7 linked regions of the Macaca mulatta genome follow. The protein of the gene in region 4 interacts with the protein of the main gene of each other region in a pairwise test. Links are inferred from orthologs where the notes say so. Each region holds a gene or a part of one and is shown on either strand. Other genes may lie near its edges. The genes, in order: RALBP1, CEP70, TFIP11, SMARCE1, CDR2, TRIM54 and CCDC136.

Region 1 (3,500 bases), on a different chromosome or scaffold from region 4:
GTGATCCAGAGATCTGGGATTTTACTGTTGCTGTGGCTGGTCCACTCACAGTCCCAGAACCAAGCAACACACACTAAACAAGAGGGAACTCAAAAGTCTGACTGGTGTACCCTAAACTCATCAGGTACTGCATGCCCCTCTTCTTCTTATTACATAAATAGAATCTCTCCTGATCTTCAGGACCTTCCAGGCAACCCTCATCACTACATTTCCAAAGAGCTGATACTAAATGCCTCAAATTCCAGCAGTCCCCGAAGGTGTGTCACCATCCAGCCTGCTTCTCATCTGCAGAAAGCCTTGTTTACAGGTATAACCGAGCAGGAAATGACAAATTTTTTAGTAAATTCATTTTTAATTAAAACAAAACTTTCTAGGCCAGGCATGGTGGCTTATGCCTATAATCCCAGCACTTTGGGAGGTGGGAGGACTGCTTGAGCCCAGAAGTTTGAGACCAGCCTGGGCAACATAACAAGACCCCATTTCTACAAGCAATAAAAAATCAGCTGAGCATGGTGGCACACACCTGTAGGCCCACCTACTCAGTACTCAGAAAGCTGAGGTAGGAGGATCCCTTGAGTCCAGGAGGTCGAGGCTACAGTGAACCATTATCATGCCATTGCACTCCAGCCTGGGTGACAGAGCGAGATCCTGTCTCAAAAAAAATAAAAAAAACGTTCTAGATTACATTGAAACATGTGACTGACACCAGGCTGCAATATCAATAATACAGGACTAGAAACATTTTAGTGAATAAATTTCCCACCAGAGAAGTTCACTTCAAGTGACATTATCTATAATATTCTTAAAAGAAAGAACTTGGGCTGGGCGTGGTGGCTCATGCCTGTAATCCCAGCACTTTGGGGGAGGCCGAGGTGGGAGGATTACTTGAGGCCAAGAGTTTGAGACCAGCCTGGTCAATATCAAAAGAAAAAGGAAAGAAAGAAAATACTTCAAAGAGCACATAAAGGACATAAAAGACTCCAACACGTTCTATTATAAACATTAGGTATCAAACTAGTAACCCACCTGTCTTTTAGCTTCTCTGAGTTTTCTTTTGAGGGCTGTCAAAATTCTTTGTACTTCCCATAATCTTTCTTCTTTAGACAAATCCTTTATCCCGCCCTGCAGATCTCGATGTAAACAATTCAAAAGAAACTCCTAGAAAGCAATGCCACACACTAAGTTGCATTCCATATCCTCTTATCTTAAACAACACATGCAATTTCTAAAGATGAAGAATCAACTATTTTTCAATTATCCTTTATTTCATTAGAGTAAAATAATGGCACTGATATGATTGAAAAATCATTCTTATTGTTTTGCCAATGAATTATTCGCTAATTTGTATTGGTTCAATAATACTTAACATCCCCATCTCCAATGTCATCATCATTAACTAGTAAGAACTGGGAGCTCACGGCAGACACAAGGGAGGAAAAGCAAGCAGAGGTTTGATAAAGTGCATGCAAATAAATAATCAAATGTAATTAACTTTCTTATTTAGTCTTGATTACACACACCCACACAAACACGGCATGGTTACTTCCATCAAAATAACATAGTAAAAACGCCCAGGATTTGGGCTCAACTCTTGGGTCTATAATAAATAATCATGTTACTTAACTTCCCCAAATTTTAATATTCTTATCTATAAAATATGGCTGATGACAGCAACCTTGTCCAGAAAAAGCAAACATTTTTAGACTATTTACAGCGTGCCTGGCCTGTTCCATGTATTGTCTCATTTGTGGCAAAATCTTCACACCAATCCTTGAAGAGGGCCCATTTTAAAGCAAGAACACCAGCGCTTAAGGTGGTTAAGAATTCGCCTAAAATCAGTTATAACTGAGAGCAGAGCAAGAATTTAAAGCCAGGTCTTTTGATTCCAAAAACTATGCTCTTTCCACCATGGTATTCCGACTTATTCAGCATGAAACAGTACCAGATGGGAATTTTTGACTTCAGTGTGCCTCACATAGCTCCAGACACACAGAAAGTGCTCAGGAAACAAGAGCCCATCACCACTGGACTCCACAATGGCCAATGCAGACGCAGGCTGTGGCAGGCAGGGTGCACACACCTGTCTCCTGATCTCCTCCTTGATGCCCGCCTGGGTCTCCGGCAGTGTGGGCATCGTGGCCATGTTAGACCATCGCAGAGGTTTCGTCACTTGCTTTAGTACCACATTTCCAAAGAGTTCTTGCACATGTGTGAAAAACACATACAAGACTCGATTGCTGATCTAAGAAAAAAAGATTTACAAGAAAACCATTAAAATTATCATTCTATTTCAGTTATTTGTGTCTAACATAATATATCCTTTAATCCTGGACACATAAAGAAAATTCTACCCAGTACTGACAACACAGTCTTTGCTAGTTAATGGTCAATTTAAGAAGAAAATGGTCAATTTAAGAAGAAAACTCATAAAATATGAGTTAAATCATGTATTCAAGCACCAGAAAGAATTGAAGAGGAAAAAAAAAAACCAAGAAAAGGATAGAGAAGCTGATGCCCATTCATTTGTTTTTTTTCTTTCTATCACTACAGTATTAACTGATTAAAACACCTTATTTTTTTTGAGTATTGTTTTGTTTTTTTGCTTTGAGATGGAGTCTCGCTCTGTAGCCCAGGCTAGAGTACTGCGGCACAATCTCAGCTCACTGCAAGCTCCACCTCACGGGTTCAAGCGATTTTCCTGCCTCAGCGTCTCTGGTAAGCTGGGATTACAGGTGTGCGCCACCACGCCTGATTGATTTTTTTGTATTTTCAGTAGAGATGGGGTTTCACCATGTTGGCCAGGCTGGTCTCGAACTACTGACCTCAAATGATCTACCCACCTCAGCTTCCCAAAGTGCTGCGATTACAGGCATGAGCCACCATGCCCAGCTAAAACATCTTATGTTCTTTATTTTCAACTTACTTTGAGATATTTTAACAGCTACAATGGGCTGAATGAGGACCGTGAGGGAAGTGAGAGCACCACAGCAGTAAAACTGGGTTGAGGTTGAAAGCCCTCACTCCAGAAACAAATACCTGGACACAGCCAGCATTTAAGTGTGGATGTTCACATGCTAGGAGACCAGGGCATTAGGTTGGCTGAAAAGCTACTACAAGAAATTACTTCCTACCTAAAACTTACTCTTACAACACACTTGACTCTTCTATGATACAACCATCTCTATTATATTATAGTAATATTAAGTATCAATGTAATATTTACCAGATCCTGAAATCCTAATATGAGTGATCAAACTAAAATCTGAGAAACATTTTGCTTTCAAAGTGTAACCAATGAATAACAGAAGAGTATTTTTTAGAGACAGAATTTTGCTCTGTCACCCAGAGAGGAGTACAGTGGGATGATCATAGCTCACTGCTGGGCTCAAGCAATCCTCCTACCTCAGTCTGCCAAGTAACTAGGACTATACATACATGCTACCACACCCAGCTAATTTTTTATTTTTTTGTAGAGACGGGGTCTTGCTATGTTGCGTAGG
Region 2 (3,500 bases), on a different chromosome or scaffold from region 4:
TACTCAACTAGGCTGTTGGAGCACAAAATCAGACACAGATAATATGTAAATGAATTGGCACAGGTGTGTTACAATAAAAATAGTTACAAAACCAACAGCCTGCTGAATATAGCCTGCAGACAGCAGTTTGCTGACCCCTGATCTAGATGATGAAGAGAGGGGATTTGGGGTTTTTGGTAAGAGTAGAATAGATTTAACATAACATAGCCATCAGGAAATTTTTCATGTAGAATATGATGTGAGAGGTACTTGTAGAGTTCTGCAAACGGGGTTCTCTGACTAAAGGTGACAAAAGGATTGAGGCCATTGGAGTGGTGGTGTTGAATTTAGTTGTCATGAGTTTGTAATGAAAATCTGGGGTTGAGGAACAAGCGACTTGGAGAAGAATCACTTTTTAGCTTAAAAAGCTTTTCATTAGTTGTCTAGCTGAAGTAAAGTATTTTGGCCTATGCAGATTATCCTTGGGTCAGATATTTGGATTGAATGTCTTATTGAGGGAAGTGGAGGATAGGAAGAAAATATGAGATACATTAATAAATAATATTCTACAAATGAGAAAATTTGCAGCAATAAAAAGAGTCTCCTAAGGAGGGGGTTTTTCAGGATTCATTGACTGAAAGGAGTTTATATTATAAACTCAGTCTCCTTTTTAAGAGTGAGTACTAACTTGAAAGTGAGATTCTGGCAATTTCAGGATAGATTTTGAGATCTACCAATAGGATATAAGTATCATCTAAAGAAGTAGGAGTACTGTAAAAAGAGGATGTAACAATTCATTGACAAGTATTACATTAGTAAAGAAGATGAAAGAGGAGAGAGGGGAAGACAGGCTAAGATTTGGAGGCCTAAGTAGGATAAACAGGAAGCACAAGAGAAGAGCTATAAACCTGTAGAACTGAAGCAGCAAGACCAAAGGAAGAAGACAGGCGGGACATGGGCCTCTTGCAGTGGCAAAAGCTTCTCTGCTTATCCATTTTTTTAAGGCCAGTGTTGTCCAAAGTTTTTTGTTGTTGTTGTTGTTTTTATCATCAGACTATATGCACATGCATAAAATAAACACATTGGGAATAAATAAATCATTTGAACTGAATCAATCCATTGATAACTTACTAGACTGGTGATATGTTTATGTGTAATACTAGAAATCATGCATGTACCCAGTGCACACTAGGCTACAATAGTAATACTTTATGCAACAGTTAAAGCAAAATGTAGTCCTTAAACAATAAAGTTGTACTTAACAGAAAAGTATTTTATACTGCTTCAATTTTTAAATTTAAGATTTAATGAAATTCAAAGTTTATTTCTTTGGTGGCATTACCCATATTTCAAGTGTTAAGCGGTAACCACTAGCTCATGTAGCTGTTGGTTACCATATAGGACATCACAGTGATAGTTAATCAAGATTGCTAAAAATAATCATATGTATTTGCTAGCACTTTGCATTTCACAGAGTCCTTCAGTATCTTTCGTTTGCTTTTTACATCAGTCCTGTAAAGTAGATGTGACAGATACTGTTTTACAGATGAGAAAATAAATTCTGAGAGATTGATTTATTCAAATAATACAACTAGTTAGTGGTGTTATCAAGGCTTGAACCAAGACTATTAAATCTGTTGCTTTTTCCACTTATGATCTGCATTTTTTCATATAGGTTTTTTGGTTACCTAAAAGTACTAGAAGGAAAAAATAGTATGTGAATGCATTTTTTGAAAGAACCTGGATGTTCCACCCATGTTTCGTTTTGTTTATTCGGCAGTGCTTTTTCACCTCTTATAGTCCATAGTTTTTCTAGGCAGTGAGATACAGTGGTGAATAAGACAAAAGTTCTGGTCCTCATGGATCATATATTCTAAATAAAAAGAGAGTAAATGGATATTGTATGTCCTATAATAATAGATAGTAGTAGTGTTCTAATACCATTCTCTATGAGAACAAGTAGGAAATTTGAATTAATTTTAATTCATGTTTAGATGATTAAACCCTCATTATGTTGGTTTAATTAGATTTTTTTCTTTGAAGATAGATTTTTCATAAGTATACTGCATGCATATTTTCATAGGCAATATAAAGAAGATGAAAGTCAGTCAGAAGAAGAAAATGACTACAGAAGTCTGGATGCCTCACCAACTTATAAAGGCCTTTTAATGGTATGGGGACTGCATAACCAATAAATACTTTTTAATAAAGTAAGTAATCTAAGAAAGTTAATTATTTTTCTATGAAATGTGTTGCAGTCATTACAGAATCAACTCAAGGAGTCAAACTCTCAGATTGATGCACTTTTAAGTGAAAAGCTGAACCTCCAAAAAGATTTGGAAACCAGGTGAGAGAAACTTAAGTTTTTTTTGTTTTGTTTTTTTTCTGAGACAGGGTTTCACTCTGTCACCCAGGCCAAGTGCAGTGGTGTGATCATGTCTCACTGCAGCCTTGACCTCTAGTGCTCAAGACTAATCAAGTCCCTTAGCTGGGACTATAGGTGCGAGCCACCACACCCAGCTAATTTTTAAAATTATTTATTTTTAATTGAGACAGAGTCTCACTCTGTCCCCCAAGCTGGAGTGCAGTGGCGCGATCTCGACTCACTGCAACATCTGCCTCCCAGGTTCAAGTGACTCTCCTGCCTCAGCCTCCCGAGTAGCTGGGATTACAGGTGCGCGCCACGACGGCTGGCTATTTTTTGTATTTTTAGTAGAGATGAGGTTTCGCCATGTTGGTCAGGCTGGTCTTGAACTTCTGACCTCAAGTGATCCTTTCTCCTTGGCCTCCCAAAGTGCTGGGATTACAGGCATGAGCCACCACGCTCGGCCTCTAATTTTTTAATTTTTTGTTTGGTAGAGATGGGGTCTCCCTGTGTTGCCTAGGCTGATCTTGAACTCCTAGGCTCAGTGCCGGAATTCCCAAAGTACTGGAATTACAGGCATGAGCCACTGCATCCCGGTCAATTTTTCTTCATCCTTTGAAAAGTAAACATATACTGGAATTTGGAATATTAAATGCACCATTCTATCTCCTTTGCTCTAAAGCTAATCATGAGTACATAATATTCTTATTCTCACTTTAGTCAGTTCTCTCCCACGATAACTTATGAAAGGAACAAGAACACACGGGTAGGCAAGGGAAATGAGAAAATAGGAGTCCACATGGAAGAAGTTAAAACTAGCTAAGAACTTCAAATAAGCTGGGCACAGTGGCTTTCGCCTGTAATCTCAGCACTTTGGGAGGCAGAGGCAGGCGGATTGCTTGAGGCAGGAATTCGAGACCAGAGTGGGCAACATGGCAAAACCCCTTCTCTACAAAAAATATAAAAATTAGCCGGGTGTGGTGGTCTCTGACTGTAGTCCCAGCTACTCAGGAGACTGAGGTGGAAGGATCACTTGACCCCAGGAAGGCTGCAGTGAGCCATGATCATGTCACTGTACTCCAGCCTGGGTGACAGAGCGAGACCCTGTTTAAAAAAAAAAAAAAAAAACTTAAAATAGATTCAGTCTTTTTTTTTT
Region 3 (3,500 bases), on a different chromosome or scaffold from region 4:
ACAAGGTATTGCACTTTGGTCGTCTTGTGTGATGGAGGGCAGGCAGAGGAAAGGAGAGGGGCATTGGGAGAGGAGGTTTGCTTTTCCCTTTTAAAAGCACTTTCACTCTCTCTAGCCTGGTTTGCCAGCACAAGACATTTGCACTCCTAAGCTACCTTGCTTTATCAAAGCTCAAGTTAAATAAGTAATTGTTTCAACAAGAAGAAAAGGGTTAGGGTGTAAAATAGGCTGCAAACAGGTTGGAGACAGGCTTTTTTTCTGGTCCTGACCAGCTACTCAGGAGGCTGAGGCAGGGGAATCGCTTGAACCCAGGAGGTGGGGGTTGCGGTGAGCCGAGATCACACCACTGCACTCCAGCCTGGGCAATAGAGTGAGACTCAGTCTCTAAATAAATAAATAAATAAATAGAATAAATAAAGACAAAAATGAATTAGTTGCTAATATTTAAAAAACAGACAATTTCACCTAAAATTCTAGATTTTGCCTGGCAGTAGTTAGTTGAGGCAAGTGAGAGCTGCTCCTGGGACAATGGACATGGTCTTCTCTTGGAGGCAGTCTCCACGGCCCCCTGTTGTCTTCCACCCCAACCCACAGGAACTTTTCTTGGTCCCGAAGTCATTTGAGTTTGCCATCCCTACTCACAAGGGTTTTAGTTTTGCAGAAACGGTTATTTGTCCTTCAGGAATATCAGTAAAACATTGTGTTTAGCTTTTTTAATAATTAGAGCCATATGGCTGTAAAATTGGCTGAGCAAATCCTTCATTGGTTACTTCCATCTTCGTCTAGTAGCCCAGTCTCCTCCTGTCTTCTCATGGCCAGCCTCACTGAGACACAGCCCCTGTCACACTCTTATCTTCTTGAGACCAAAGCCTCTCAAACCAAACACTTGGATTCTTCCTACAAGAACATTTCCCCTTCTTCTTGAGCTATATCCTATGCATGATTGCCAAGTAGATATAATCAAATGTGTCCTCCATATTCAAATTTGAGTCTCTAAATAATAATATTACTTTTTGAGACACAGTTTCACTCTTGTCGCTCAGACTGGAGTTCTATGGCACGATCTTGACTCACCTGCAACCGCCGCCTCCTGGTTCAAGCGATTTTCCTGCCTCAGCCTCCCGAGTAGCAGGGATTACAGGCAGCTGCCACCACACCCAGCTAATTTTTGTATTTTTGGTAGAGACGGGGTTTTACCATGTTGGCCAGGCTGGTCTCGAACTCCTGACCTCAAGTGATCCACCCTCCTTGGCCTCCCAAAGTGCTGGGATTATAGGTGTGAGCCACTGCGCCCGGCCTCTAAATAATTATTAAAGTGAAATCCAGGTTATGTGTTGAAAACATTAGGTACATGAAAAATACATGAACTTAAGCAAGGATACGCTGAATGAGAATGAGGGGACAGCTTTTTTCCTTTTTTTGATACAAGGTCTCACTCTGTTACCTAGGGTGGAGTGCAGTGGCATGGCATGATCATAGCCTACTGCCGTCTCAACCTCCTGGGCTCAAGCCTGCCGAGTAGCTGGGACGACAGGCACACTCTGCTATGCCTGGCTAATTTTTTCTTTTTTTGTAGATGGGGTCTTACTATGTTGCCCAGGCTGGTTCAAGACCTTGGCCTCCCAAAGTGCTAGGATTACAAGCATGAGCCACCATGCCTGGCCCAGGGATAGCTCTTATTTGAGACTTCAGCTGTACTAAATGGAAGGGAGGCAGGGATGGAAAATTTGGAGGGGGGGCAACATCTTCATTGAAATGTTGTGGTCCTATTCGTAAACTCTTTTATGAGAAAAGCAACATTTATTTCTAGGGCTTAAACTTGTTATAAAAAAGTTAAACATAGGAGATAGGAACTCCTAAGTAAAATACATGAGTCTTATATTAAATTACAGCTTCACTTCAGTCAGAGTCAATATAGTATCTGAATTATTGCATTTTCCCTAATAGAGGCTTCCAAAGAAGTGAAGTGTAGAATTTAGTATGCTGGAGTTCTCGGTTATAAATGTAGTGTTCTGTTTTCTTGTCCACTGAAACAATCCAAGTAGAAATGGAAATCTATTTGGGATATAAATAAACCAGTCAGCAGACTGTTCTGTGGTAGCATAAATGCTCATAAGTTTCAAATCACAAGGGACAAGAGTAGTGTTCTGAGGGCAGAGAATAGCTCTCCTTGAGTAGCGTGTTATTTTGTGGAAGGAGCAAGAAACTGTCATTTCACTGAGTGGCTGATTCACATACATGAATTGCTGTGATCATAAGACTGTCTTTTTTTTATCTTTTGCTGAAATTCCTCAGGTATCATTAACCCAATCGAAGCCAAGCAGAGAAAGGGAAAAGGTGCTGTGGGGGCTTATGGATCCGAGCGCACCACGCAGTCAATGCAAGACTTCCCTGTGGTTGACTCAGAGGAAGAAGCTGAAGAGGTAACTGGAAGTCAGGAGACATGGGTGGGTGGTGTCCTGTCCATTTCTAATGGCTGTTCATTTATCCCTTCATTCTGTTAGTCCTCAGATGTTTATTGTACACGTACCATATGCCAGGTGCTGGGCTGAAGGCTAGGTGCACCATGATGAGAGGGCGCACGGTGGACAGAGAGTAAACAAGCAGCTATGGTGTGGAAGTGGCAGTTGAAATGGCAGAAGGTGCTAGGACCTGCCTAGACAGAAAATAAGGTTGGGGGTTGGGAGGTGGTGTTGACCTACTTTTATAAATAGGCTGGTCAGGGAAACCTTTGAGGAAAGGAAACATTTCAGTTGAGACTTGGCAGAAGGGTGAGCTGAGAAGCCTGAGGACACTGAGAGGCTCTGAGCTTGCCGGTTAAGAAACCATAAAGGAAGCCGTTGTGGTGGGAGGGTGGTACACAAAGCAGAGGGGAAGGAAGTGCATTCAGAGGGGTGGGCGGGCCACAAGATGGGCCTTGACAGCCATTTTTAGGTGCTTGGGTTTCATCCCAAGTGCAGCAGGGAGCCATCTGCTGGCAGCTGTGTGTCCCTTTTCCCCAGTGATAGAAGGGGCCAGCTTTGTTGATTGAAGTATTACTCTTTTCCCATTTGAATTTATGGGGGAAAGCAGGATGCTGCAAAGAAACACGTTACTCTTCTTGTCACTGACCTTTTGATGACACAGTCATTTGATAATGTGGGATTGACCACTCTGAGTCAGGGGTTCTCAGACTTAGAAGCCTACAGGTGCCAGGCACACCACAGAAGCAAGTAAGATGAGCCAGATGCTAGACAATAAAGAGTGGTGGGGACTGTGGCACAGAGGTGAGGCCTTAGCCTGTCTAGAAGGTAAATCTTTATTCAGCTCTAGGTGATTGTTGCTTATGAGGATGTGGGCTTAGTATTGCCTGATCCTCTGATTTTCCCAAAGTAGCCAGATGTGTAGATACTTTTAGAGAAAAAAATGACAAGTCTTAACCAGTATGAGAAAAACATAATGACAACTCCAAAACCAACTTCTGTGGGCTGGATTCTACTACCATCACGCTAAGAAAGTTT
Region 4 (3,500 bases):
AGTGAACAACATTCAATAAAAATATTATTTTGGAAAAAAGAATGAGGAAAAGTAAAGTAACAGGTACGGTGATAAAAGTATAGTTAACATATTAAACAGATACCCTTTTAAGTTCATTGTTAAATGAATCTGTGCTTTCCAGGAATTTCCTCTTCTTCTCCTGGTGTCGTTCCTCTATTTGAAGAAGTTCAGCTTCTAGTTTTCGCTGCAAGACAGGATCAGGCTTTACAATCATATCTCCTGTTTTAATGGTTCATACTTTCAAACAGTGTACCAAATAATGTTTTGAACTTTAGATCATTTATTACATGAGTCTAGCTAAGATTTAAAAAATACAAAATGCAGCACAAAGAAATGATTATGATCAATAGGTAAATGTTAAAGAATACTGTTTCAGGCCTGAGCAATTCCTTTGGAAAAAGTATTTAGTAGAGCAGTAAAGACTGATAGGACGCCTCAAAATTCTTAAGTTCACATGTACTTCTTAACAAATATACCTTCCATTACAAGGTTCTATATTATAGTTTTTAATGACAAACTTATTAAACATTTGGGAAAGGTCCACTTCCTTAAACCTCTTCTCCAAATCAGGAACAGTTTAGACTGACATATTTAACAGGTACATTTAGGCATGGTGTAGGAATCACGTCAGCTGGGATTTGTGGTATAGGTCCATTTTATTGAAAGTTTTATGACTTTACCTGATGAACCATTAAGGACTGGACCTGCCGTTTGAGGACCTGCATTCTAGCTGTTGTGACAACTGACCGAACGTCTGGCACCACACTCTCACTAAGAATTTCACTGATGAGGCGGTGGTTTCTCTGGAAACGGGCGGTGGCTGTATGCTTCATTGAAAAGCCATCATCATAATCTGCAATGAACAAATTGTTCTGCAAAGTAGGTCACCAGTAACCATAAAAAGGAGTGTAACATGTTAACACTTAATTATCAAGGAACCATGGCCCTTGCTGGCCTAACAAGGGGACCTGACCAGCGTCATGGGAGCACTGGGCAGTTACTTGATAAAAACCATACAGAGGACGTAATGTGTTCACTGGCCAAGGTAGTAATTTATCTCACAGTCTTTAAGTGATGATGTGTGTCTGAGAAGGCTTTGGCTAAAACATAAATGAGATACAACATGTCTCTTCTGGCTTTGGAATCAATGTGAAAGCTGCATGTGATGGCAGTAATTGAAATTCTGCCCAATGTTTCACTTTCTTGGTAGTGACTTAAGGCATTTAACAACTAACGAACAACATATGAACTGGGCAGTGACTTTATGAAAATGCCAGTTTGTAAAATTATCACAGCAGAGGAAACATCATCTCTAACAATATTCAGTTTCCCAGGCCCTCAAGGAATTTTATAGAAGAAAAATAAATGTTTTGATTCCAAATTTAATTTTTGTCAGTTTACACTTAGCCAGCTGTACGGGTCTGGTTTATATGCTTCTGTTTTGTTTTGTTTTGAGACAGAATCTCACTCCGTTACCCAGGCTGGAGTGCAGTGGCCCAATCTCGGCTCACTGCAACCTCCACCTCCCGGGTTCAACCGATTCTTGTGCCTCAGCCTCCCAAGTGGCTGGAATTACAGGCACATGACACCATGCCCAGCCAATTTCTGTATTTTTAGTAGAGATAGGATTTCACCATGTTGGCCACGGCGGTCTTGAACTCCTGACCTCACATGATACGCCCATCCTGGCCTCCCAAAGTGCTGGGATTACAGGTGTGAGCCACTGCGCACACCCTATATGCTTATTTTTAATAGGTATCTAGTGTTTCCTTAATCTCAGTCTTTGCTCTATCGCCTTCATAGTTTTTCATATATCTACTAACAGCCTGTACTATTGTTTACTTAATATTTTTCTTTAAACTAACTCATTTAAAAAAAAAAAAGCTTTCTCTGTAGCAATACATACAAAACAAATGCTCCTTTTTGACCCACTTAATCACCTCAGTGTCCCACCAGACAGGGAGGAACCATACTTGAGCAAACCTTATTACAGAGGAAACCCTGTTACAGAGGAAACCCCATTACAGAGGAAACCCCGTTACAGAGGAGAAAGCCCGTTACAGAGGAGAAAGCCCGTTACAGAGGGAACCCTGTCACAGAGGGAACCCTGTCACAGAGGAAAGCCTGTCACAGAGGGAACCCTGTCACAGAGGGAACCCTGTCACAGAGGGAAGCCTGTCACAGAGGGAACCCTGTCACAGAGGAAAGCCTGTCACAGAGGAAACCCCATTACAGAGGGAAGCCTGTTACAGAGGGAAGCCTGTTACAGAGGACACCCTGTTACAGAGGGAAGCCTGTCACAGAGGGAAGCCCGTCACAGAGGGAAGCCCGTCACAGAGGAAACCCCGTTACAGAGGGAAGCCCGTTACAGAAGGAAGCCTGTTACAGAGGACACCCTGTTACAGAGGACACCCTGTCACAGAGGGAAGCCTGTTACAGAGGACACCCTGTCACAGAGGGAAGCCTGTTACAGAGGGAAGCCTGTCACAGAGGGAAGCCCGTCACAGAGGGAAGCCCGTCACAGAGGGAAGCCCGTTACAGAGGGAAGCCCGTTACAGAGGGAAGCCTGTTACAGAGGACACCCTGTTACAGAGGAAACCCCGTTACAGAGGGAACCCTGTTACAGAGGAAACCCCGTTACAGAGGGAAGCCTGTTACAGAGGAAAGCCTGTTAGAGGGAACCCTGTTAGAGGCCTTTGTGGTGCTCCTATGTCAGTTTAGCACCTCTCTTATTGTCTTGCACTTAAGCAGTTCCTAAAATTCTCATTATCATAAATACTATAGCTAAAAACTGTTGTTTTTGTAAAAAGTTAAAAAAATTACTTTTCTTTCCTTTTGAGTAATTCCTTTAGGAAATAAACTTCTGAAATTAAAACTATTAGGTAAGATACAGTTTTTTTAAAAACTCTGTAATCTTTCTACTTTTTAAGAGTTTTTCACCTTTAGGGTTATATGTGGTATATCTGTGCTACGTCTGTCTAAGTTATCTGTTTTTGTTATTTTTTATTTTCTTCTTTCATTTATATGGCCCCAGTGTTGACCACAGATGGGGTAATAAGGTCTAAGAATTTGGGCTTGTTCTTCCTTGCATGTAAGTCATCTGCTTCCTTTTTTCGGGGAATGGCTTTTCTAATTATGATCTAATTGAACAGCTATTTATCCCATGAAGAGGCTCTCATTGAACAAAAGCCTTCATTGTCTTGTGTAGATAATTGCACATGCCCTCTTTTTTTTTTTTTTTTGAGACTGGGTATTGCTCTGTCATCCAGGATGGAGGGCAGTGGCATGATCATAGCTCACTGCAGTCTCGAACTCCTGGGCTCAATTGATCCTCCCACCTCAGCCTCAGTTGGAGCAGCTGGGACTACAGGCACAAGCCACCATGCCCAGCTAATTTTTAAGTATTCTGTAGAGACAGAGTCTTGCTGTGTTGCCCAGGCTGGTCTCAAACTCTTGGCCACAAGCAATCCTCCTGCTTT
Region 5 (4,103 bases), on a different chromosome or scaffold from region 4:
AGCAGCTGGGACTACAGGCGCCCACCACCATGCCCGGCTAATTTTTTATTTTTTGTATTTTTAGTAGAGACAGGGTTTCACCGTGTTAGCCAGGATGGTCTCGTTCTCCTGACCTCGTGATCCACCTGCCTCGGCCTCTCAAAGTGCTGGGATTACAGGCGTGAGCCACCGCGCCTGGCCAGACCTGTGTTTTTAACGTTAAACTTGAAGAGTTGATGACTTTATTTTGATCAGAGGTTAAAGAGAATTCCACCTGTAACCCTGACACGCTGCACTTGCTGCTTGATAGACTGAAGTGTTACAGCTGGTGGTTCCAAACAACCTCCAACAGTGGGAGAACGCAGCGTGGACTAAGGCACCTGATGGAAGAGAGCCATGAAAACACTTCTGTGATAGTGCTTCAGTGCAGTTCAACAAATACTAAAATCGAGCTTCCAGTATGTGCCAAGTATTATGCTAGATGCTGGGAATACCAGAAAAAAGAACCTGCCCCCTCTATACCCTTAAGGATTTATGCTTCTTAAATTTTTTTTTTTTTTTAAGACAGAGTCTCGTGTCGCCCAGGCTGGAGTGCCGCGGCGCCATCTTGGCTCACTGCAACCTCGGCCTTCTATATTCAAGCAATTCTCCTGCCTCAGTCTCCTGAGTAGCTGGGATTACAGGCACATGCTAATTATAGGCACGCCTGGCTAATTTTTGTATTTTTAGTAGAGACGGGGTTTCACCTTGTTGGTCAGGCTGGGCTCAAACTCCTGATCTTGTGATCCACCCGCCGCGGCCTCCCAAAGTGTTGGGATTACAGGCGTGAGCCACCGCACCCGGCCTATGCTTCTTAAATACAGGAAAGAAAAATATTTAGTTGTGATGATACAAATTAAATTATAGGGAAATACTGCAATGGCACAGTGGTTGCCTCACAAATCCTGGAGAAACTATCAAACTAGGCCATCAATCCCTATGGGGAAATCTGAAAACAGGTTTGTTAAAACGTATGAGAAATGTGTCCTTTGGACATAAAGATGATGCCACCAAACACTGCACTGCAACCACTAAGCAGCTTGGACTCTATAAGCGTAATAAAGGTGAATTACTTTGGTTAAAGTGATTGCATGTTAATTTAAGAAATTATCTTCCTCCAAAAGAGGTGCTCGTTTTATTTTCCTTTTCTGAGTTACTCAAGTCTACACAGTTTCCTTCTGCCATGTTCAGTGGTTAGCATGAACAAGCATCTGCCATGTTCAGTGGTTAGCATGAACAAGCATCTGCCATGTTCAGTGGTTAGCATGAACAAGCATCAGCATCATTCAATATTTAACTAAATGAGATGTTAATTTTCACTGCAAGATTAGAGCTGAAAACATTTACATAGAATTGCAGAAACCAAAGATGCCGGGAAAAATTCCTGAGGATTATTCACAGTGTTCAGTATAGCGGTTAAGAATGTTTGCTCTCGAGTCTTAAGGGGAACCCTAGCACTCCCCAACATTATCACCTCTATTGTGTTACTGGGAGATAAATGAGCAACTCTGTTATGGGCCTATCAGTGTTAGGCACATCAAAAGTGTTCCCCAATTGCTAGCTCCTGCTATTAGTATAAAAAAAAGTGGGGCCCCACTGGCCCCAAAGTGTTGGCTGCTCTATGATTGTTCTCTGGAGACACCATCGGCAGGCCTATTTCTAAGTGAAAGCTGGCATGCAAACTGAAGAAAAGTGGCAGAGGTAGAAGCGCTCTTCTGTCATTTCAACTGGCATCTGGTGAACTATGCGTAACAGCTTAATTCCCAACTGAAAAAAAACTGTTAACTAGGATGGTAAGGAAGGGATGGGGGTTTGAGGAGTGACTACAACTCCTCCTTTTGAGTGTGTGGGTTCAAAAAACCACTCCCTCCCCCACTTAGCTTTAGGCAAGCCACTCAACCGTTTCAACCTCCGCTTTCCTCATCTGGAAAATGGGATAACAAAAGTTACTCTCAGTGTAATTGGATTGTTTGTACCTCAATGGATAAATGCTGGAAGGGATGGACGCCCCGTTCTCCATCACGTGCTTATTTCACACTGCGTGCCTGTATCCAAACATCTCACGTACCCCATAAATAGATACACCTACTATGTACCCTCAAAATTAATCAATTTTTTAAAAGTTACTGTCTCCTAGAGTTACGGCGCAGAGCGCACAGCTCCCGCTACATCGCAAAACCACTACCACCTGCAGCAGCCGGCCCTCCGTGCTGGCCAAGAAAGGCGCTGGGCTACACAGCCTGCGAGGGGGCGGCTTCTCGGGCTCTGCCACTTACTACGGGACACACTGGCTCACCCGGTCTGCCTCGGAGGAATGCAGTGAGGATTAAACTAGCTAATCCACGGAAAGCGCTTAAAACGGTGCCTGGCGCGTCCCTGGCCCCCATGCGCCTCGGGTCTGATATTCAACTGCGCATTAGCAGGGCCGTGGGCCCCGCGCCGAGGCTTCCTGCGGGCGGGATCCACGGGCACGGCCGGCCCCGCCGCCAGGTGAGCCCGAGCCCTTCCCGGCACCTGCATCCTCAGCCGCCAGAAAAAGCAACTTTTTAACAGTTTCGCAGCGGGGGCCTCCCGGGCCAGGCCGCCGCCGCCGCCGCCCGCCCGCCCGCGGGGCGCCCCCGCCCTCACCTTGCTGGAGGTCCTGGTGGTCGTACCACGGCTCGTCCTCCTTCATTTCAAACTCCTCCACCAGGTTTTCCGCCAGCATCTCGGCTGGGTCCTCTAGGGGCAACGGTCCCCGCCGCCGCCGTCCCGCCTCAGCCGCTGCCCCGGGCTCTTCCCCGGCCCCTCCGCCCTCAGCCAGAGCCGCCCTCGGGCGGGACGCGCCGCCGCCCAGGCTCCGCCGCGCCGCCTCAGCCCCGTTCCCGCCGGCGACCGCCGCCGACCGGCCGGCTGCTTCGACTCGCCTAGCGCCTCCCAACGGCCCCAACGGCCGGGCGTTACGGCGCGAACGTAGGGAGCCAGGTTCTCACGCTGCCGCCGGTCTTCACGCCGCCGCCGGGCCCAACGTGGCACTTTGGCAGAACCCTCCCCGGCCGGGGATGCGATTCAAACCCCCGGCGGCTTCTCAACCAATCGCGAGCGGGCCGCTGGCCGAGCGACAGGGACTTCGTCCAATAGCGTCTCTCCAAAGACCCGCGGCTCGCCCGGTTTCGAGGCCAAGCAGCCAATGACGGGCCCCGAATAAACAAAGAAGGCGGGGAAACAGTGAAGGGGTGCGGCCGAAAGCCCGCCCCCTGATCTGCGCTGTGCGGCTCCTAGGAGCGCGTACTAGGTTCCGGGCTGTGGAGCTGGCGGAGGCGAGTCCTGCCGCTTTGGTGGGTGTCCCGAGGCCAGCGCGTCCGTGGACAGGCAGCGCAGGCCGGAGGGCCTAGGACTTCGGCCTCTGAGAGGCGGGCGGTTGTCGAGAGGCGTCCTTCGTGCCGGCGGGAAGCGCGAGGGTGCCGGAAGCCGGAGGTCCGCCGCCCGGCTGCCGCTTCTCGCATGTTGACTCTGAGATTTGCTCCGGGTCCGGCAAGGAGACTCGGAGTCGATCGGGAGTTTAGGGCTGAGAAAACGCCCACTGAGCGGTAGCTCTTGTCTCGTTGACATCTGAGCTCTGGGAATTACGCTCCCTAAAACGGTGGGCGCCAGACCCCGTTGAGAATCTGGGGCAGTGAGGGATGCCCGAAGCTGTCCACTTGGAGGGGGAAAATTGTAAGCAGGGTTGCAACGATTTTTAAAAGGTACCTCTAGACCACAAGTTAAGCATCTGGGGACGTGGCATTGCACCTGGAGGGGTCAGGCTGCAGCCCCAGCACTTAGTAGCCAGCAAGGCAGAGCACGCTGTCCTCCACCGACATAACCCAGCAAATACTGCTCATGAGTAAAGCTTTTAGCACCATCTTACAGACAAAGCACGGAAACTCTTAAGCAGGATGACAGACCTGAAGGTCAATGTTCTCAACCTTGACGTAAAGGTAAAATTGCAGCTGATGGAAGACAGCAGGGCCAATATCTAGCAAACTTTGAGCAACGAAACAAAAAAATCGAGGTTTAAGTATATAATTGAAAGATTATCTCTAGAACATAAGGTAATAAACTGT
Region 6 (4,048 bases), on a different chromosome or scaffold from region 4:
TGCCTACAGTTGTCAAAATGTGGAGGCAATGTGTGAAAAAACTAAATCTGCTCATCTTTCCGAGGGAGATCTACTGAGATATATTGAGATATACAGACTTGAGTGCAGCTGAAGAACTGGGTCAGCCTCCCACCAGGCCCTCCCAAATAAGCAGCAAGGGATGAGCTCTTCACTCTTCCTCCTTGGAGGGGCCAGGGCTGCTCTGCACCTCAAACGACACACATCACTCCAGACCCACAGGGCCACCCCAAAGCCCTGGGTATCACGTTATCTCCAAATATTCTGTACAGGGTTTGCCCCAAGCCATTCCAAGGTCTCTCTGAGCCCAGATCAGTATTCCAGAGCTTTCTGGAACTGAAACAGTGTGCTTGGGTAGAAAGGGTTGACTTAAACAAGCATGTCACTTGAACACATTCTAGCCTCCATGTATGGGGACTGCTCCTGGGCCCCTCTGCCAGACGACAGAGGCACCCAGGAATGCTCTTGGACATTCTGACCACTTTTCTATAGGACACGTCACCTTAACTTTCAAAACTTCTCTTTGTTTTCACGCATTTCAAGTTCCAGTGAGAGGATGTTTCACTGTCAGTTCATGAGAAATGATGGCAAAATCTTTCCGCCATTTCCTCCTAGGCATCTCAGCCTGAAGGATGTTCGGAATTCCTCAGACCAAGGAAACACCAAGATGGTGGGCAAAGCATTGCCTCTCATGCAGGACTTCATGCACAGGATGAGGAGGCATAGCATTTGGTCTGGGTCCCCCGAGACGGAAAATCTACTGCCTCTGAGATACTCTGGAGCTGAATAATGGCAGGTTTGGACACATAAAAGAATAGGAGAGGGAATGGGCCTCAATGGGAAGATGGCAGGAGAGACCACAGAGTGCTGGTCTTCAGTGAAGATGACACACAGCAGACATACAAGGGGCGGGTCACAGGGTACATCGTGGGATGGCGGGACCTAGCCAGTCCATTCCTTTCCCAAACAAGCTGCCCCGAGGAACTTAAGAGGGAAGTATTTTCTTGGTTAGGTTAAAAATCCCTTGTGTTTAACACATTTCCTCATCATTTCTGACACTGAAGAATACTTGTTTGGGATGTTCCGTATCACTGACACACATACTAAGCCAGCTCTGGTCTATTCAGGGTTTGTTTTTGTGTTTTTGAGACAGAGTCTTGCTCTGTCACCCAGGTCAGAGTACAATGGCATGATCTCGACTCATGGCAACCTCCGCCTCCTGGGTTCAAGTGATTCTCCTGCCTCAGCCTCCTGAGGAGCTGGGACTACAGGCGCCTGCCACCACGCCTAGCTAATTTTTGTATTTTTGGTAGAGATGGGGTTTCACCATATTGGCCAGGCCGGTCTCGAACTCCTGACCTCGTGATCCGCCGGCCTCGCCTCCCAAAGTGCTGGGATTACAGGCGTGAGCCACCACGCCCGGCCACATTCAGGGCTTTTGCTTAATCGGCAAGGCCGCGTGTGTGTGTGTGCCTTTGCCCCTCACTCTCCCTGATCTCTGTTCCATTTCATAGCCTACTAGAACCTCCCCGGTAGCACAGGAAAAGAAAAAAAAGCCCACTTATAATCCATTCTGGTATATGCAGCTTTTATTTCTAAACCAGTGGCTAAAATGGTATCTGTGAATTTGATTAGCTATGCTTGGCTCCATGACCACAAATAAACCAAAACTGGCTAGACTTCTAAAAGTAAATTTCTTTGCCTTCTCTCTGCTTGTCAAGTGACCTCAATAGCTTTGAACCAGTAGGCCTCTTTACTCAACAATCTGGAGGTAACAGGTATGAACTCAAGTTGGGGAAGAGTTCCCAGTCTCCTGCCCACTGCGTCTAACTCTGTCCCCCACAACGGATGCCCTGAACTTTCCTTAAACACGAATCGTTTTACTGCCATTATGGAGCTTTCTCACAGGGTTGGGTTTTTTCTGTTTGTTTTTTAATGTTTCATTATCTCATTAATCTTTTCTCCGTATTTTCCGCAATGCTCTCAAAGTGTGAAACTCCAAACTGGAATGCAGAGTCTGGCACAGGCTCTTAAAAGACCGGTGTAGGATCCCCTCCCTCCCAGTTTCCACAGGGTCTCCTTTCCTCAGCAGATCCCAGCACTCCAGCTGCCGTCTATGGACAGGCTGTACCTGCCAGCCTGCAGGGCAGCTGCTGACTCATGCTTGCTCTGGGATTTGCTTGGACCCCAGCCCTTCTGCTCTCCAGCCACAACAGCCACCACCTACCTCAGAGAGCACTCTATCCATCACTTTCTGGGGTCTTAGCTCTGACCTGATCAGTCCCCCACAGGTCTGCATTGCTTTACCTGGCCCTGCCCCATCCCTGGCGCCCACCTGGAAGACGTCGTTGGCACACTTGCGGCACAGGTTGTGTTGGCAGGGCAGGATCACCACTGGTTTGGAGAACATCTCCAGGCAGATGGGGCAGATGAGCTGCTTCTCCAGGTTGTCCATGCTGTGTGCATCCCCTAGCAGCGGCTTGAAACCCACGGTGAAGTTCATCCCCTCGGTGGTTGTGCCTACCCTGGCTTGGGTCCTGCTCCTGGCCTTCACTCACTGTCTGTAGACCCTTCCTCACTCAGACGGCCTGTGGATTCCCTTCTGTGGCTCACTCTTGAAATAGCTCTGCTCTCTCTCCTGTCCCTTTAACAACTTGTCTCGTCCCAGATAGCAGTCTTCAGACACTTCTGTCTCCACTTTCTGCTCTGCACCCTCGGCAGGCTCACGTAGTTTTAGCTATCCCTCTCTCTCTGTAAAGTCCTCCTTTTGTTTCCCAAATGACTCTCTCTTGTTCACTCTGTGGGTAGCACTGTTTGTCCCTTACTCCCCAGAGAGGAGATTAATTTTACTGTGGGGGTGGGGAGACAAGGGGCATCTGCATGACATTCCAATTCCCAATTTAGCTCATGTAAGGCGAGCCACAGCTGTCACGGAGTGAGTGACCCTGACTCACTCAGGAATGGGTGACTCCCCTGAGCAAGGGCAGGGGCAAGCACCACTGCTTACGGTGAAAGGTGGGTCAGCAAAGGTGCTGCCCTCTCACTCTGAAGGCTCCTCTGAGCCCAGGACCCCTGCTCTGGCTTGGGCCCTTCTTCCAGGACAGTGACACAGAATCTAAATCTGCCTGTGTGAGAAGCACCCATACATAGCTCAGGGTGGGAGGAAAGATCTTGCCAGACTTAGAGTCAGTAGCAGTTGCCTCCTCCACAGGCTCAGCCAGTGACCCTGGTCCTCCTCCTCAAGACTGTGTGATTCAGAACAGCAGCTCCAGAGACTCCATCAAGCCTCCTGTCCAATACCTCTGGCTCATTTTTGTTCTTGCCTGCCTTTTCTTATATCACCCTAGGAAATGAAGCTCAAGAGGCTAGAAATGAGTATTGTGCCAAGGCCTGGACCTACCTATGAGCATGCGCCCGAGGAAATGTGGGATTCTGGTTCGTGAACACATCCCTGGAGCCACTCCAAGGACTTCAAATTTGTTAGGAAATTGGGAGAAGGTGAGCTGGGCAGAAAGGACATGAATGCCAGGGACCTATTTTGGGCACCCAGGGAATCAACCTCCAGGGAAATTTTAGAGCACTGACAAAGTCATAATCATAAGGCTCCAGGAAGCCTCTGCCCCAGCTCCACAGTTGTCCAGGACTCCTCCTCTCCAAGCCAGGCTCGCCCCAGTTGTGAGCACTGGTCTTCTTTTTCTCCTACAGGTCTTTTTCTCCACTTGATATTAGCCAAAAAGCCAAGAAGCAATTTCTTTAGGCCTTTTTCCTCCACCCCAGACACAATTTGTCTTTTCTGGGTCCAAAATATGCCTTGGGATTGGACAAAAGCTCTTTTATTTACCGCCATTCTTTAGCCCTTCTCCCAGTCCAGGAAGAGAAGTCTGAGGAGTTAGTAGGTAGTGACCCTGAGTGGGTAGGAAATACACGGTGTGAGGAGGATACGAAACAGCAGCACAAAGAGGCAAGAGTGGGAAAAGAGTCCAGAAAGTGCAATCTTCTCCGGATCACATATTTCATGCCCCTATTTTTG
Region 7 (4,079 bases), on a different chromosome or scaffold from region 4:
CCACCCCTTGTTTAGCATATCATCAAGAAATAACCATAAAAATGGGCAAACAGCCGCCCTTGGGGCTGCTCTGTCTATGGAGTAGCCATTCTTTATTCCTTTGCTTTCCTAATAAACTTGCTTTTACCTTATTCTACGGACTTGCCCTGAATTCTTTCTTGCGTGAGATTCAAGAACCCTCTCCTGAGGTCTGGATCCGGACCCCTTTCCTGCAGCGGGGGGAACGCAGACAATGTGAGTGAATGTGCTAGAGAAGGGATCTGCGTGTGTCCCTGGCTTAGGAATCTCCCAGCCATTTCCTGGATGTGCTGGGGAGCCCCTGTTGCGAACTGTACCCACTTCTATCCTTGCTGAGACCTGCCGAGATGTGAGAACTGCCTCTTCAAAAGCCGGCACCCAGTGGACATAGCTTGAATAAAAGAATGGTGGAAGACGTGAAATAAGCCCCCTGGGCTTCCAAATCTCCCTTCCACGAGAGTGAACATCAGTCGTGCCCACTCTCGCGGGCTACAGTGGGGGCGTGGCTCACAGCCCACCTGGTGTGGGACCGGAAGGGAAGGCAGGGCGGAGGAGAGGGGGTCTTCGGGCCCTGAGGCTTGGTGGGGCCACCGGAGGGCCCCCCTAAGAGGGTCCCTGGCCCTGGTTCGGTAGGGGGTCGCAGAAAGCGGAAAGGTCAGGGCCCTGCCGTTCGCCCATCAGGGCCTCGACTTCCCTCCTCCGGCCCCCAGGCTGCCGAGGGGCCACCGGGCAGGGCTGAGCAGGGCCTGAGGCCGGAGTCCGCGCCGACTGCTTGGTGGGGGCGCCGGCCGGGCGGGGGAGGGAAGGAGGGAGGGGCGCGCGTGTCTGTGCGCTTGGAGGAAACAGTCCCACCTCGTCCTTTGCTGTCCCCATTGCTGAGCATGACTGGGCCCTGACACCTGGTGCAGAAGGGTCCCTGCGCACAGCAGATCCCGGGGGGATCTGCTGCCAGAACCAGGGGATCTCGCTCCTCCCTCTTGGGACAGCCTTAAGCCTAGGAGCTCCTGACACTGTCCGGGCCCCGCAGCTCCCCACGCTCCCTCGGGGAGAGACTTGGGGCGTATCTGGGGTCGCGCTCACCCTCCCAAGCCGCCCCCTGCACCGGCTCGGAGCTCCCGAGTGCTGGGAGGGCTTCCGGGCGGCGGCGAGCGGCGGGGGGCGGTGTCAGGAGGCCCGGCCAGGCCCCGCCCCCTCTCCCGCCCCCCCCCCCTTCCTGCGCACCCGGCTCGGGTCCCCGGGCTCGCGGCTGCGGCTTCTGCTCGGGGAGGCGTAAGGCGGCGGCGGGAGCGGTCATGGAGGCGGGCGCCGGAGCCGGCGCGGGAGCCGCGGGCTGGAGCTGCCCGGGACCAGGTCAGAGCCGCCCCTCCCTCACCTCTCCACCGCCCCTCCTTTCTCTCCTCCATCCCTCCTCCCTCCAGACCCCCAGGTGCTCCTGGCCTCCGCGGCTCCCCCTTCTCCGCCCAGAGTCTTCCTCCCTCCATCCTGGCCTCCACCGGGGCCCGGTCTCCATCTTTCCGGCCTGGGGCTGGGGCTTCAGCGCACCGGCCGCATCCTGTCTGGTGGTCCCTCCCCAGCGCGTCTCTCCACTCCAGTCCAACGGTGCTTCCAGCCTTCGGGGCTCCAGACCCCGCACCTCCTGCAGCCCCGGAGATTCCTGAGCGCGGGGCGAGGGTGGGGTGGGCAAGGTCCAGCGAGAGAATGAGAGGGGAGGGGAGGGGAGCGGTCGCTGCCCTACCCCTTCCCACACGCCCCCCACTCCTCCCTCCCTCCGTAGGCCACCTCACCCTTTCAGCCTCTTCTTCACTGGCTCCCGCCCTCTTTCTGTCTTGCCCCTCTCCTCCCTGTCTCCCTGGACTAAATACGCACACCCCCTCTTTCTGTGCAAGCAAGAGGGGCCTGGAACAGGGGGTTCTGAGGAGGCTGGGCGTCAGGACTGGGGTCTCCGCAGGCAGAGCATGAGAGGTGGTGGAGAGAGAGAGGAGTCGCAGAGACGGGAGAGTGAGTCAGGCACCTCCACTGGGATTACAGATCCCAGAGCCCCGAGGAGCTGGAAGGCATGTCCCCTTCTTTGCACCCCAGCCCGCAGCCAGTCCCCCATCCCCCAGCCCTTCCTTTCTCCGTGCTCTCAGGACCCACAGTGACCACTCTAGGCTCCTATGAGGCCTCTGAGGGCTGTGAGAGGAAGAAGGGCCAACGCTGGGGCTCCCTGGAACGACGAGGGATGCAAGCTATGGAGGGTGAGTTTTCCCAAAAGGCTTCTTTCTTTCCCTTCCCCTCCTCCCTTAATTCCCTTTCTTCCTCCCTTTGACCCCCAGGCCTCTAAGCCGGGACACAGCCCTTCCCTCAGTTCATCTTAGCCCCTCTTCCTGCAGCTCAGAGCGCCAGCCCTTCCCAGGGCTCAGGCTTTGACGGAAGTTTAGGGTGCATCCCTTCGGGACCCCAGTCAACCCCCAGCTAACCAGGTTGTGTGTCCCTAGGGAGCTGCCAGACAGAGAAAGAGGCCTGGTTGGACAGAGCTTTGAAGCAGCCTTTCAGCAGGGGGTTTGTCCTCACTGCCTGCCGACCCAGATCCCAAGCTGTCTCTTATTATAAAAAGCCAGGAACTGGGCATGTGAATTGTCTTTCTGGGGCCACCACCATTAACTTCGAATGGAAGCCTGTGGCTTTGGTTCTCTAGGATACCTTACTGCCTGAAAGAGATTGCCTAGGAGGGGGCGTGTGAGGCCATCCTCCCAACACACGTGTATCCCCACCACACCCATGTGACTTGGCAGTTGCTGCCAACACCAGGCCCCTGGAAGGACGCTGGTCCATTTTCCAGGACTTTCTGTGAAGTATTGCACGTTGCACATTCAGTATGGGCAAACCTGCTCCCCCTAAGAGGGACAGATGGCACAAGGGGTCCCAGACGAACCTAGGGCTGCTGATGTTAGATAAAGTAAGACCAGAGATTCAGAATTTTAAAACAAAGCAAACAATCATCATCCAGACAACATTTTGCTATTTATAGGGACTGCATTGCAGTAAAGGAGCGGGTGCTCACAACCAGAGGCTGGGGGCCAGCACCAAACCCCAGTTTTTTTAATGCATTAAAATAGCAGGCTTTCTTTTACACACAAGTACAGCCTAAAACTTCCCCTGAAAGCTGCTTTGTGGTCAGCAGAGTAGGAGGGGCTTCATATGGCTCAGCTAGGGGAGAGGAGACTTTGTGACATGCAGCAGGGAAAAACAAGGTGGACCTTGTAGAAAATTTCAAACAGGTATTTAATAATATACATTTGAAAGGGCACCAGCGTTTATCCAATGAAACCTCTACAATCAGATATTTTCTTTCTCTACCTGCTGACAGGCAATGCTTTCTTATTACGGAAAGGCTGATTTTTCACAAGCCACCTGGATAGTGTTTTGTTTGGTTGTTTTTGTTTGTTTGTTTGTTTGAGATGGAGTCTCACTTTGTCGCCCAGGCTGGAGTGCAGTGGCTCGAACTCGCCTCCCTGCAACCTCCACTTCCCATTTTCAAATGATTCTCCTGCCTCAGCCTCCCAAGTAGCTGGGATTATAGGCATGTACTACCACGCCCAGGTAATTTTTTTGTATTTTTAGTAGAGATGGGGTTTCACCATGTTGACCAGGCTGGTTTGGAAGTCCTGGCCTCAAGTGATCCACCCACCTCAGCCTCCCAAAGTGCTAGGATTACAGGCATGAGCCAGCATTCCCGGCCAGTTTTGTTTTGTTTTGTTTTGTTTTTGTTTTTAACTTTTGAGAAATCTCCAAACTGTAACTGTTACCCCATTTGACCGAAAGATCCACTCACTGTCTCCTTTCTTGACTACTTGTCCTGCTACTCAGAGGCCAGCCTAGAAGAAGCAGGTAATCCTGTGCAAGTGTCTCATGCTGAGCGGGCACCAGCCTGCCCACAGGCAATGGTGGGAGGCTACCATGTGCAACATTGGTCCAGGAAGGGCCTGGGAGGTGGAGGGGCTGCCTCTCAACTTGACCCTCACACCTGAGGATTCATCTTGAGTATAGGTCTTGCCCAGAGGCACCTTGGGGGATACCAG

What was found.
Region 1: the proteins of SMARCE1 (region 4) and RALBP1 interact in binary tests that used the Homo sapiens proteins (3 or more experiments, as listed by UniProt). The two-hybrid records come from large-scale screens. The link is inferred for Macaca mulatta from reciprocal best matches to the Homo sapiens genes SMARCE1 and RALBP1.
Region 2: the proteins of SMARCE1 (region 4) and CEP70 interact in binary tests that used the Homo sapiens proteins (3 or more experiments, as listed by UniProt). The two-hybrid records come from large-scale screens. The link is inferred for Macaca mulatta from reciprocal best matches to the Homo sapiens genes SMARCE1 and CEP70.
Region 3: the proteins of SMARCE1 (region 4) and TFIP11 interact in binary tests that used the Homo sapiens proteins (3 or more experiments, as listed by UniProt). The two-hybrid records come from large-scale screens. The link is inferred for Macaca mulatta from reciprocal best matches to the Homo sapiens genes SMARCE1 and TFIP11.
Region 5: the proteins of SMARCE1 (region 4) and CDR2 interact in binary tests that used the Homo sapiens proteins (3 or more experiments, as listed by UniProt). The two-hybrid records come from large-scale screens. The link is inferred for Macaca mulatta from reciprocal best matches to the Homo sapiens genes SMARCE1 and CDR2.
Region 6: the proteins of SMARCE1 (region 4) and TRIM54 interact in binary tests that used the Homo sapiens proteins (3 or more experiments, as listed by UniProt). The two-hybrid records come from large-scale screens. The link is inferred for Macaca mulatta from reciprocal best matches to the Homo sapiens genes SMARCE1 and TRIM54.
Region 7: the proteins of SMARCE1 (region 4) and CCDC136 interact in binary tests that used the Homo sapiens proteins (3 or more experiments, as listed by UniProt). The two-hybrid records come from large-scale screens. The link is inferred for Macaca mulatta from reciprocal best matches to the Homo sapiens genes SMARCE1 and CCDC136.

What each region holds. Positions count from the first base shown.
Region 1 is NC_133423.1:80,490,931-80,494,430, reverse strand, and holds part of RALBP1 (ralA-binding protein 1), read right to left. Parts: intron 2,243-3,500; coding exon 2,081-2,242; intron 1,159-2,080; coding exon 1,027-1,158; intron 1-1,026. UniProt on the Homo sapiens protein: Multifunctional protein that functions as a downstream effector of RALA and RALB. As a GTPase-activating protein/GAP can inactivate CDC42 and RAC1 by stimulating their GTPase activity.
Region 2 is NC_133407.1:41,523,804-41,527,303, reverse strand, and holds part of CEP70 (centrosomal protein of 70 kDa), read left to right. Parts: intron 1-2,062; coding exon 2,063-2,150; intron 2,151-2,237; coding exon 2,238-2,326; intron 2,327-3,500.
Region 3 is NC_133415.1:25,052,231-25,055,730, forward strand, and holds part of TFIP11 (tuftelin-interacting protein 11), read left to right. Parts: coding exon 1-5; intron 6-2,295; coding exon 2,296-2,423; intron 2,424-3,284; exon of another isoform or gene 3,285-3,500. UniProt on the Homo sapiens protein: Involved in pre-mRNA splicing, specifically in spliceosome disassembly during late-stage splicing events. Intron turnover seems to proceed through reactions in two lariat-intron associated complexes termed Intron Large (IL) and Intron Small (IS).
Region 4 is NC_133421.1:65,012,063-65,015,562, forward strand, and holds part of SMARCE1 (SWI/SNF-related matrix-associated actin-dependent regulator of chromatin subfamily E member 1), read right to left. Parts: intron 875-3,500; coding exon 702-874; intron 206-701; coding exon 104-205; intron 1-103. UniProt on the Homo sapiens protein: Involved in transcriptional activation and repression of select genes by chromatin remodeling (alteration of DNA-nucleosome topology).
Region 5 is NC_133425.1:21,841,763-21,845,865, forward strand, and holds the start of CDR2 (cerebellar degeneration-related protein 2), read right to left. Parts: upstream 2,801-4,103; 5' UTR 2,726-2,800; coding exon 2,647-2,725; intron 1-2,646.
Region 6 is NC_133418.1:97,700,357-97,704,404, forward strand, and holds the start of TRIM54 (tripartite motif-containing protein 54), read right to left. Parts: upstream 2,801-4,048; 5' UTR 2,522-2,800; coding exon 2,354-2,521; intron 1-2,353. UniProt on the Homo sapiens protein: May bind and stabilize microtubules during myotubes formation.
Region 7 is NC_133408.1:168,424,956-168,429,034, forward strand, and holds the start of CCDC136 (coiled-coil domain-containing protein 136), read left to right. Parts: upstream 1-1,279; 5' UTR 1,280-1,310; coding exon 1,311-1,368; intron 1,369-1,779; exon of another isoform or gene 1,780-1,973; coding exon of another isoform or gene 1,974-2,016; intron 2,017-2,147; coding exon 2,148-2,255; intron 2,256-4,079. UniProt on the Homo sapiens protein: May play a role in acrosome formation in spermatogenesis and in fertilization.